Arabidopsis thaliana: one gene and its partner. The protein of the gene in region 2 interacts with the protein of the main gene of each other region in a pairwise test. Each region holds a gene or a part of one and is shown on either strand. Other genes may lie near its edges.

Region 1 (5,393 bases), 4.6 Mb from region 2:
CTCGCTTTCTCTGAATTGTTTGAAACTGAATAATGTTTTTTCCAAGCCTGAATCTTTTCTTTTCGATTCTGTCTTGTGTTTGGACAGGTTGATTTTTCGCGTCACATTGGTTCGCTGAGCAAGGCACAGGCAAAGAAAGTAGCTCGTTTTCTGCCAAATCCAGAGAAGCATTGGGGTCCAAAGCTTAGGGCTGGTCGCCAGATTACGAGCAAACATGTATCTCTTATTGGTCATGAAGCAGTCAATGGTCATCTTAGCCAACACCATGAAGAACTTAAAGAAGAAGATGAAGAAGCAGAGCCAGAAGATAATGTCCAAGACAAGGTTGATCCAAAACGCCAGAAGACAGCAACAGATAATATTACCTCAACATAATAAGACAAATCACAAAAAGTTTTACAAAATAGATCAGATTTTGTCTACAGTCAGATTTGCCTCCTGATGAAGAACTCTGTTTTGTCTGTTGTTTCCTATATAATCATTTTTGGTAATACTTGAGACTTATGACCCATTTTTGTGATTCCTTCTGTTGTGATCTTATTAGTTTACTCATCTATAGCTTAACCGAACCAAACAGTAATTTAGTACCATGAAGAACTAAAAGAGGCAAAAGAAGCAATGTATAACAAGATATTGAAAGTAGATAACCACTTCTGATCATCATTAAATGAAGCAATATCATAGTACTTGAACAAACAAAACTACAACTATACAAACGCTGTAAACAATCTATTTGTTAAATTTACTTTTAATACAAAATTGTTTAGCAGTAACACCATTGGTCCTCTTCTTCTACTTCAACCCCACGCACGAAAGAAGAATCATCAAAAGGTTTCATTTCACTGTAAATCAAACCAAGCTCTTCGTAAATCTCTTCCCATCTAGGATGAGCCTTATCTCCAACGAGAAACACATGAAGCTCATCTTTTAGCTCAACCCAACTGCAACCAGGCTCCTTCTTAAGCTTAAAGCCTCTCATATTTCTCCTCAAATCTGAAACCTTTTCCCACATTCCTGCATCTGCGTATACATTTGATAAAAGTGTATAAGCTGAAGAGTCTTGTGGATCCAATCTCAACAGGGCAGCAGTTGCTTCTTCTGCAACCTCTACATTGTTTCTATGTATCGTGCAGACTCCTAACAGGGTTCTCCATATGACATCGTCTGCTTCAAATGGCATCTCTCGAATAAGCTCTAATGCTCTCTTGACTTTTCCGGATTTTCCTAATATATCTACCATGTTCGAGTAATGCGGTAGCTGAGGATCCAGGCCATAGTCTCTCTTCATCATATAGAAGTACTCGAGCCCTTTGTCGATCAGACCCATGTGAGCACAAGCTCGGAGTATCGATATGAAAGTAACGTGATTTGGTTTGATGTTTTCGAGTATCATTCTCTCAAACAGTTGTATAGCTTCCTCTCCTTTCCCATGATGTGCATACCCGCAAATCATGGCGTTCCAGGTCACGAAATCTCTTCTCAGCGACTTCTCAAACATCAATCTTGAATCATGGAGATCTCCACATTTCGAGTACATGTCAACGAGGGTGCTACAGATATACACATCAGATTGCAATTCTTTCTTGATGACCTGAGCATGAATCTGTTTACCTAATCCAGCGGAAGCAAGATTCGCACAGGTATCAAGAACTGTTGCATAAGTAAATTTGTCAGGAGTTATACCCATCTCCATCATCCGGGTAAAAAGCATCTGAGCATCCTCGCTTTGTTCCTTCATTACATATCCGGAAATAATTGAATTCCATGAAACACACATTTCCTGCAGTCTCTTATTGTGCATCTTTTCAAGCTCTTCCATTGTTCCCGAGACATTGGCTCGTTGAAAGAATCGACTATGTATCTTCTCCGCCTCTTCTATCATTCCACACTTTGAATACATATCGATCAGAGAGCATCCGACAGAGGAGTTTGAAGCCATTCCTGATTTGACAATGCTGGAATGGATCTCCATACCGTAACCTAAAGAACCACCAGTGCAAGCTTTCAATATGCTTCCAAAGGTAAACTCATCAGGTTCGATCCTAGAACGGAGCATCGAGACAAAAAGAAAAAGCGTTTCATATCCTTTTCCGTTCTGCTCATGTGCAGCTATAATCGCATTCCAAGACACAGCGTCTCGTCTTCTCATCTCATCGAATACACGAAAGGCTTCAGCCAGAGCTTGACATTTCCCATACATGTCGATAGCAGCATTTGCAACGCAAACATCTAGCGATAAGCTGCTTTTTATCGCCAAACCGTAAATCTGAAGCCCCTCTGAAAGTCCTTTCACCAAGGCACAAGCCCTGAATACTCCTGATAAACTTATCTCGTCGAAACCAAGACCCGATGACATGAGTCGGTGAAACAACAGTAGAGCTTTGAAACCATGTTCTTCTTGCGAATAACCAGTAATCATTGCGTTATAAGATTGCCTATTAAGATTTTCTGAGTTGTCAAACAAAATTTGAGCATCTTGCATATTATCACACTTTGCGTACATGTCCAATGTCGCCGTCCTCACTATACCATCTGCTGCAAAATCTGACTTCAAGGCATGAGCATGTAACTGACCGCCTAACCTCAATTCGGATAACGCAGCACATGACCTCAAGACGCTAGCGTAAATTGACTGGCTCACTCCAGCATTTACCTTTTGCATCTCCTTGAAAAACTTCAAAGCAAGGGACAACAAGTTATTCTGAACACAACCTGCGATTATAGCACTCCACGAGACAGAATTCTTCTCTGGTATACCTTGAAACACTCTAAGAGACTCGACAAACCTCTTGCCTTTTGCATACATATCCAACAACGCACTCGCAGCAACCACATCAGTATCACAACCCACTCGAACGACAATCCCATGAATCTGCATTCCTAAACTGGTATCCTCTAAAAAGGAACAAACTTTAAGAATAATTGCAAAAGTTCTACCGTCAAACTCAATACCTTCTCTCCCCATGTCAACGAAAACCTCGATAGATTTCAAACTCTCGCCGTTTTGCAGATACCCAGAAAGCATTGAGTTCCAAGACACAACATCTCTCACAGGCATCATATTGAAGAAAGAATTCGCTTTAAACATGTCATTACTCTTCGAGTAACCATTTATCATTTTGTTCCAAGAAACAACATCTCTCAGCGGCATTTTGTCGAACACCATAGAAGCAGACACGAAATCTCTTGAATTTGTGTAGACCTGCAGCAAACAGTTCAGTACGAATGTAGTCGGACGAAACCCAGATATTATCATATGAGCATGAGCTTGCTTGCCTAGCTCTAACGCTCCTTGCTTCGCACATTCCTTGAAAACAAACGAAAAGTTCGTCGTGCTAACTGAGTTCACTTGATTCAGAAAATCAGTGAAATAAGAAAAGCTTGGAACTCTCCGGTATGAAATTTTCTCTGTTAGACAACGATTGAATGAAACCACTGATCTGGTCATATGCAATAATCTGAGACTCTCCGCCATGAGTCATAACGAACTGAAACTCAGTGGTATCTATGGCGGGATTGAAACGATTACAATTGCTTCGGTTCGGTTCACTCGGTTTGAAAAATATATAAACCGACTGACTAGGCACTAGCTATATTAATCAAGCGGTTAACACGCCACGGGGAATCCAGTTTGGACTTTTACTATTCTATTAAATAATTAAAAAGCATTACCAGATCAACAAGGTCGTTGTAGTATAGTGGTAAGTATTCCCGCCTGTCACGCGGGTGACCCGGGTTCGATCCCCGGCAACGGCGTAATTTTTTCATCGTTTGTCTTAATCCACCTGCAAATACACGTCATCATATTATATCCTTTGTGTAGACGAAATCATACGATTTTTCCCTCTGAAATTTCCTTTTTCCTTTTTTGTCTTTTTTTTTTTTAATTAATTACTTTTCTCTGAGACACAGCAATGGCGTCGACGAAGCCCGATTCCGCAATCAACCTTGAAGAAGAGGCTGAAGGCGACGGTGTAGCCGTAGACGATCCGATTTTCATACCGGAGACCACGAACTTACTCGTCCGTTACTCGCCATTCGACGACAGGGACATCGATTGCAATCCTTATTTCCCTTTCACAGGCCCGATTTCAGATTCTGGATCAGGTTCTTACTCGGATTCTGAGCCCGATCCCAACAGCTGTCCCATCGATTTCTTCGATCGAGATTCTTCCGATGTTGACGTGGCTGAGTACTTGGAATCAGGAGGGCTGACCGCCGGTGATTATAATATTTGGGGCTTTTATGACCCCAAGGAAGACGAGGAAGAGGAGGAGATAGTTTTGGGGACTTCCGGGTCGGATCTGCAACCGGGTGATTCAGGGGAGCAAGGGCTTCGAGTGACCGGTATCGATTCAGATTCCGATTGTGAAGATGGCGTGTTTGATTTTATCTCTGAGGATAGTAGCGGGAATAGGGGAAATGATTCGGGTCGGGTCGAGGTTGGTACGGGTCTTCCTCCTGTGTGGGATCATCTCTTCGGAGAGGGAACCGTGTTGGCTGATGAAGAATGGGAGGAGGTGCAGAACGCGATTAACTGGACAGCTTTTAGTGGACCCGAAGATGAGGACGAAGAAGATGAATTGTCTTCACTATCAAGGGATGATGAAGAAGAAGATCATGAACTGGACTGGCAGGTTTTGTTAACTGTTAACAATGTTGTTAATTATATCGAACAAGCTGAAGGAATCATGCTAAACCCTGATGATATCGATCCGGATTATTACCTGTATCTATCTGGTTTGGATGAATTTGATGAAAATCATAGTGGACATTATGATGCTGATGCTATTCTTGGGCAAATGTTTGATGACGAGACTGGAATCAGGGGAAATCCTCCAGCAGCCAAAAGTGTAATTCAGGATCTTCCGGTTGTGGAGCTTGCTGTGGAAGAGTTAGACAAAGGGAACAATGTTTGTGCGGTATGCAAAGATGAAATGTTAGTGGAGGAGAAAGTAAGGAGGCTTCCTTGTAGTCATTTCTATCATGGAGAGTGTATCATACCTTGGTTGGGGATAAGGAATACTTGCCCGGTTTGTCGGTATGAGCTGCCTACTGATGATCTTGAGTATGAAAGACATAAGAGCTCAGAAAGGGGCGATACTGGTTTGGCAAGGAACGTGTTGCCGGGTAGATATAGTTAATTGAATATTTGAAGTGATCTATTCTTCAAGTTAATAGACATGGTTTCAGAGGCAAGATCCTTGAACCACTTTGTTTATGGTAAGCACTTATCGTGAATGTGATAATGTTTAAGTTGTATATATTCCTTTTGTTTTGTGAAATAAATCATGTTAAACTTTGAACCCTTATCTTGAAGTGTTTGTGAAGTTAATCCATCTTTCATAGTTGTTCTCGTTGAAGATCAATCATGGATTTATAACTAAGCTTCT
Region 2 (4,765 bases):
TCTCCGTAACTGGAAAAAAGCGAACGGAGACCTTCCGTAGTAGTATCCGCCGCGAGACCACGGATGAATAGCTTCCGCTGCGAGATATCAGAGTCGGCGGTTAATCGGACAGATTCAAGCACGTCGGGATGGCGTACGATAGCCTCTTGCAATAAGTCGAGCAGCTGATCAGTGGTGAATCGCTCGATAATCTTCCTCGCGTCTTGCGGCGACAATCGAGTTGGACCAATGGTTCCGCCACCGTTGGTATTGAGTCCGTTACCGTTCTCATCGAGCTTACGCTTCTTCATCATATCCATGGTTACAGATTTATCTCTGGAGTTATTCTTTCACCGGTAAATCCCTAATCCTTCTAGTCCAGCCGTAGAGAAAGCGAATCTGACACGAAAAAAAAGAGGGGAAAATATGTGACGGCGGAAAAACATATGAGGGAAGCGAGGGCTTTATACGGTTACGAGATTTTCCATTTTGGGCTGAAATTTAGAATGATGGGCCGGGATAAAGAACACAAAGCCCATCTTGTTACTTCACACCCGCTTCTCTCTCTCATCATCAAATTGTGTGTTCTGTCAAGTTTGTCGAAAGAAATATGATATTGATGACATTTGTCATTCTTCCTGTTATAATATGAGTATCCCATTCCCATGTAAACATGATTGGGGAATTAGAAATTAAGACTAGGAAGAAGCCAAAGAAAGACACAAAACAATAGCCTGTGGGAGACATGTTACTAAATCCCGTTTAATGCAGAACCAGGAGTGGACATAAGAGTAGCAAGCATCACAAGGAAGAACTTGAGATCGATTTAGGATATAAACTACTAAAAAGAAACGCAAGAGTGAAAAGTTCTAACCATGCCACAGTAACTTAGGCTATTCTCTCTCACATAATCCCAGACTGATAAACACTCGAGATAAAAGGAGTTTTAAAGTCTTGCTACTGCACTCTCTCTTCCTCAAATTATCTATACACAGCCCAGAATGCATGATTAAAAAGGAAACCCACGACTGCTTCAACTGCTTTAACCCTGGTAGGGGTTGCCACTGCCATCCCGGTTAGGTGGGTAGTTGTTCTGGTACTGTGGCTGCTGCATTCCACTACCCTGCTGCTGGTAGTTGTTGTTCTGTGGGGGTGCTCCTCCGTATTGAGGTGGTGGTACTGCTCCATATTGAGGTGGTGGTCCTCCTCCATAGTTTGGTGGTGGTGCTCCTCCCATGTTGTTTGCTGGTGGTGCTCCTCCATAGTTGGGAGGTGGTGTTCCTCCATAGTTCTGAGGTGGCCTCGGTCCTCCCATGTTGTTTTGCGGTGGTGCTCCATAAGGTGGTGGATGCCTTGGTCCTCCCATGTTGTTTGGTGGTGGTGGTCCATAGTTCTGCCCCATGTGAGGTGGAGGAGGTGCAGAGCCACCCATATGAGGCGGAGGAGGTGCAGAGCCACCGATGTGCGGAGGAGGAGGAGGGCCTCCCATGGGAGGACGTTGAGGAGGAGGGCCTCCTGCCATGTTCTCTCTTCTCCTCTCAAAGTTTCTGCTTCTATCATTGTTGCGAGGACGGTCATTGCGTCTGTTCCTTTCATTTGCTCTAGCATTGTTCCTTATCCACTCCTCGTGGTACTTAGGATCATAAGGAACAGCCTTCCCATCGATGAAAGGTTCCCCTGAAAGTCAATATATACAAAAACGCATCAAACTAACTCTCTAATAGGATCACCAGAAAGATTTAAACTCTCACCAAAGCAACATCACTGCGACTTCTACAACACCAGTCTCACAATAGATATCACTAAATCAAATCTAACAGATGCACCCACAATGTTAATTAACTATAAATAGAAGTCGCCCCATGTGTCAATCTAACACAAAAGCATGGAGCAAGTAACGAGTCCACAGAGCGAAGACTAGCAACAGGTAGTTTCCCTTGAAAATTTCAAACCCAGCAAAAGTATAATGGACGAGCAAAGCAACTACCCCAATTTCAAACCCAGGTTATGATACAGATAATACACTTAAGCCTACCTCCATAGTCTTTGTTCCTCACATCCAGGTAAGAGTCAGGAAGAACCCAGCGCACATTTGACAACTCTGGAGAGTTACAGAAGAAAGTTAGAAGGCAGATTATAACACAGAAATGAGGAAAACTAAAACCCAACAAAGGCAAGAGTTAACCTTTTAACTTGTGAGAAAGATCTTCTGACACAAGTGCCCCAAAAGCATAGTAGCACCTAGTTGAAACCGAGTAGATCTTCATCCTAGCTTCGTCTTCACTGAAATGTCCAAAACGAGATATATCATGTTACAGCTCCAAAAATGATCTAAGTAAACACACAGATCCGTCATACACAGTAGTGGATTTCTCACTTATTTAACCTAAAATCCCTAGAAGAACATACACAGAGAGAGAGAGAGAGAGAGAGAGTTTTGAATTGGGGATTTACCTGCCAACAATCTGAGCTAGGGTTTTGATGTAGCTATCAATGATTTCATCTCTAGTAGGCTCACCCTGAGGTGGCTCCACGACGACAAGCCAGTGCTCGAAATCGCAACCATCGAGCAGGATCGTCTCCTTAGGTGGCCTGTTCGACCAGTTGGGATTCGGGTCGTTCAGAGAAGACGATGTAGCCTGCGTCGAGAGACCTTTGACAGACACAAGGCCGCCACGGAAAACGGAGGAAAAAGCGGCGACCAGAGGACGGGACCGGCTGAGCAGAGAAGACGCCGGAGATTTGGCGAGAGGAGCAGATGAAGCAAAGGATCGCGTGAACAGAAACGAAAGAGATTTCGCCGGTCGGCAAAGAATGGATCGAGAAATGGTATGCGTCGCCATGGAAGCTCTAGATTGGGCTTCGCAGATAAAACCCTAGGAGAGAGTGTGAAAACAGATGAGCTAGAAATGAAATCAAGGGTTTTATGAGGGTTTAATAGTAGATTATGAGTCGAGGGCATTTTAGGTATTTCATAACTGAACTGGACAGCGAAATCTACGGTACTACCCCCTGATCTTATCAGATTCAACAAAATTGCCCCTATTTTACCTTAAGTTACAAATAAACACATTTTCGCCAAGAAATTAGTGACATTACTCTGTTTTCAAATGATAAAAAAGCTATTTTTATACAAGAAGAGAAGACTGAAGATTTTATTTTCACTAAATTGGTAATAATCATATTATTAAATGGTTTACAAATATGAAATATTCCAAAGCTAAACATAGGGGCAAATTCGTATTTTAGAGTTATTGTAAGGTCAATTTGGTGAAAATGTGTGACTAAAATATCTTTCTCCATAAAATAATTTTTTTCTCCAGCACACCCTCTAGCTCTTGCAGAGGTTTAAAGAAAATATCGGCAACATACATAGAAAAATCTCGTTTATTCATTTATAAAGGCATAAAGTTACACACCAATCACTAAGCCAAGCTCATATGTCATATATCATAAAGTAAGTAATTACTAATGGAGAGAGATAACTAAAAGGCAAAGCCTTCTTTTTATTCAAGCCACTCTCATACTTTCATTGTTTGAAATCACACAAGTGTTGCCTTTCCGAGCTGAAGAGCTTTCTCTCGCCCGTAAAACTTTTCGACAATGGCAAGTGAAAACTCCATTGCAGTCCCTGGAGCTCTGCTTGTTATGACATTTCCATCTACCACGACTCTGTGCTCAATGTGACTCTTGTCCGAAAGTTTGTCGCTCACCACTGGGTGAGTAGTAGCCTTCTTACCCTATACAAAACATGTCTCTTATATCTCAGTTTAATGACTTAAAAGATAGAACAAGAAACTACAATTCTAGTACTGTTTGATTTATGCACCTTGAGTAAACCATTAGGCTCGAAGACGTAAGCAGGCGATGCGCAGATTCCTCCATATGGTTTGTTTGCTTCTGCCTGTTTCCTTAACATATTAACTAGCTTCTCGCAGCTTGCGAATCTTTGAGCACCGTTAAGACCGCCCTGTAGTTCATCAAAGAAGTTGGATTATGTTTTTGGTTATTTGTCATCATAGAATATTAAAATTTAATTTAAGACTAAATAGTATATTCACATTTTGGAAGTTAGCAATACTCACAGGTAACACAATCAGATCAAACGACTTCTCTGCAACCTCATCAAGAAGAACTTCTGCTACTAGCTTAGCTTTGCGAGATCCTTCAACTTCCAAACTGTTACCAACTGCAGCAATCACTACATTTGCTTTTGCCCGCCTCAGGATATCTACAAGCGCTATAGCTTCAATTTCCTCTGACTCCTCTGCAATGGGTACGAGAATCTGAAAAGGGAAAACATTATCTCTCTGACTCATAAAAGACTATTGATCAAGAAAGACAAAAGCTTTACAACACAGCATGTTCCTAGGAATCTGTATAACGGATCAAACAAAGCCTGTCTTGGAAAAATGTTAAAAGGGCCAAGTGGAGAGGCAACTGAACATTTACCTGTGGTGTATCTTCAAATGACCAGTTTGTTTGGTTAAGCTCAGTAAAAGTAAACTCCTCACCAGGGTTAGGACGAAGCAGCTGATTTCAAAAGGATAACAAGTAAGTCTACGAGGAGGTGACATGAACACGTACCACAGCGGTTGATAAAAGAGGCAGAGACAAAACATACCAAGATACTGGAGACTTCATCAGCTTTTTCTTTCCCAAACAACTGCTCTATAAGCGTGATGGAGAATTCAATGGTGGTTCCTGGTCCACGACTGGTCACTATTCTTCCATCAATTTGCACTCTTGACTCAACAGCAGTTGCACAAGTAGCCGCAAGTTTCTC

The links.
Region 1: the proteins of RIP1 (region 2) and AT3G02330 interact in a two-hybrid assay, tested with the Arabidopsis thaliana proteins (one study listed by BioGRID).

The regions. Positions count from the first base shown.
Region 1 is NC_003074.8:473,118-478,510, forward strand, and holds AT3G02330 (Pentatricopeptide repeat (PPR) superfamily protein), read right to left. Parts: upstream 3,546-5,393; 5' UTR 3,476-3,545; coding exon 764-3,475; 3' UTR 657-763; downstream 1-656. Other genes in the region: AT3G02320 (N2,N2-dimethylguanosine tRNA methyltransferase), read left to right, coding at 88-375; AT3G02340 (RING/U-box superfamily protein), read left to right, coding at 3,915-5,144. UniProt on the Arabidopsis thaliana protein: Involved in C-to-U editing of mitochondrial RNA. Required for RNA editing at 8 sites in 6 different mRNAs in mitochondria.
Region 2 is NC_003074.8:5,048,378-5,053,142, reverse strand, and holds RIP1 (cobalt ion binding protein), read right to left. Parts: upstream 2,949-4,765; 5' UTR 2,823-2,948; coding exon 2,434-2,822; intron 2,263-2,433; coding exon 2,165-2,262; intron 2,081-2,164; coding exon 2,015-2,080; intron 1,657-2,014; coding exon 1,022-1,656; 3' UTR 688-1,021; downstream 1-687. Other genes in the region: AT3G15010 (RNA-binding (RRM/RBD/RNP motifs) family protein), read right to left, coding at 1-299; DJ1A (Class I glutamine amidotransferase-like superfamily protein), read right to left, coding at 3,522-3,719, 3,809-3,949, 4,065-4,265, 4,432-4,512, 4,604-4,765. UniProt on the Arabidopsis thaliana protein: Involved in organellar RNA editing. Required for the processing of numerous RNA editing sites in mitochondria and plastids. Binds to the plastid RARE1 factor, a pentatricopeptide repeat-containing protein involved in RNA editing.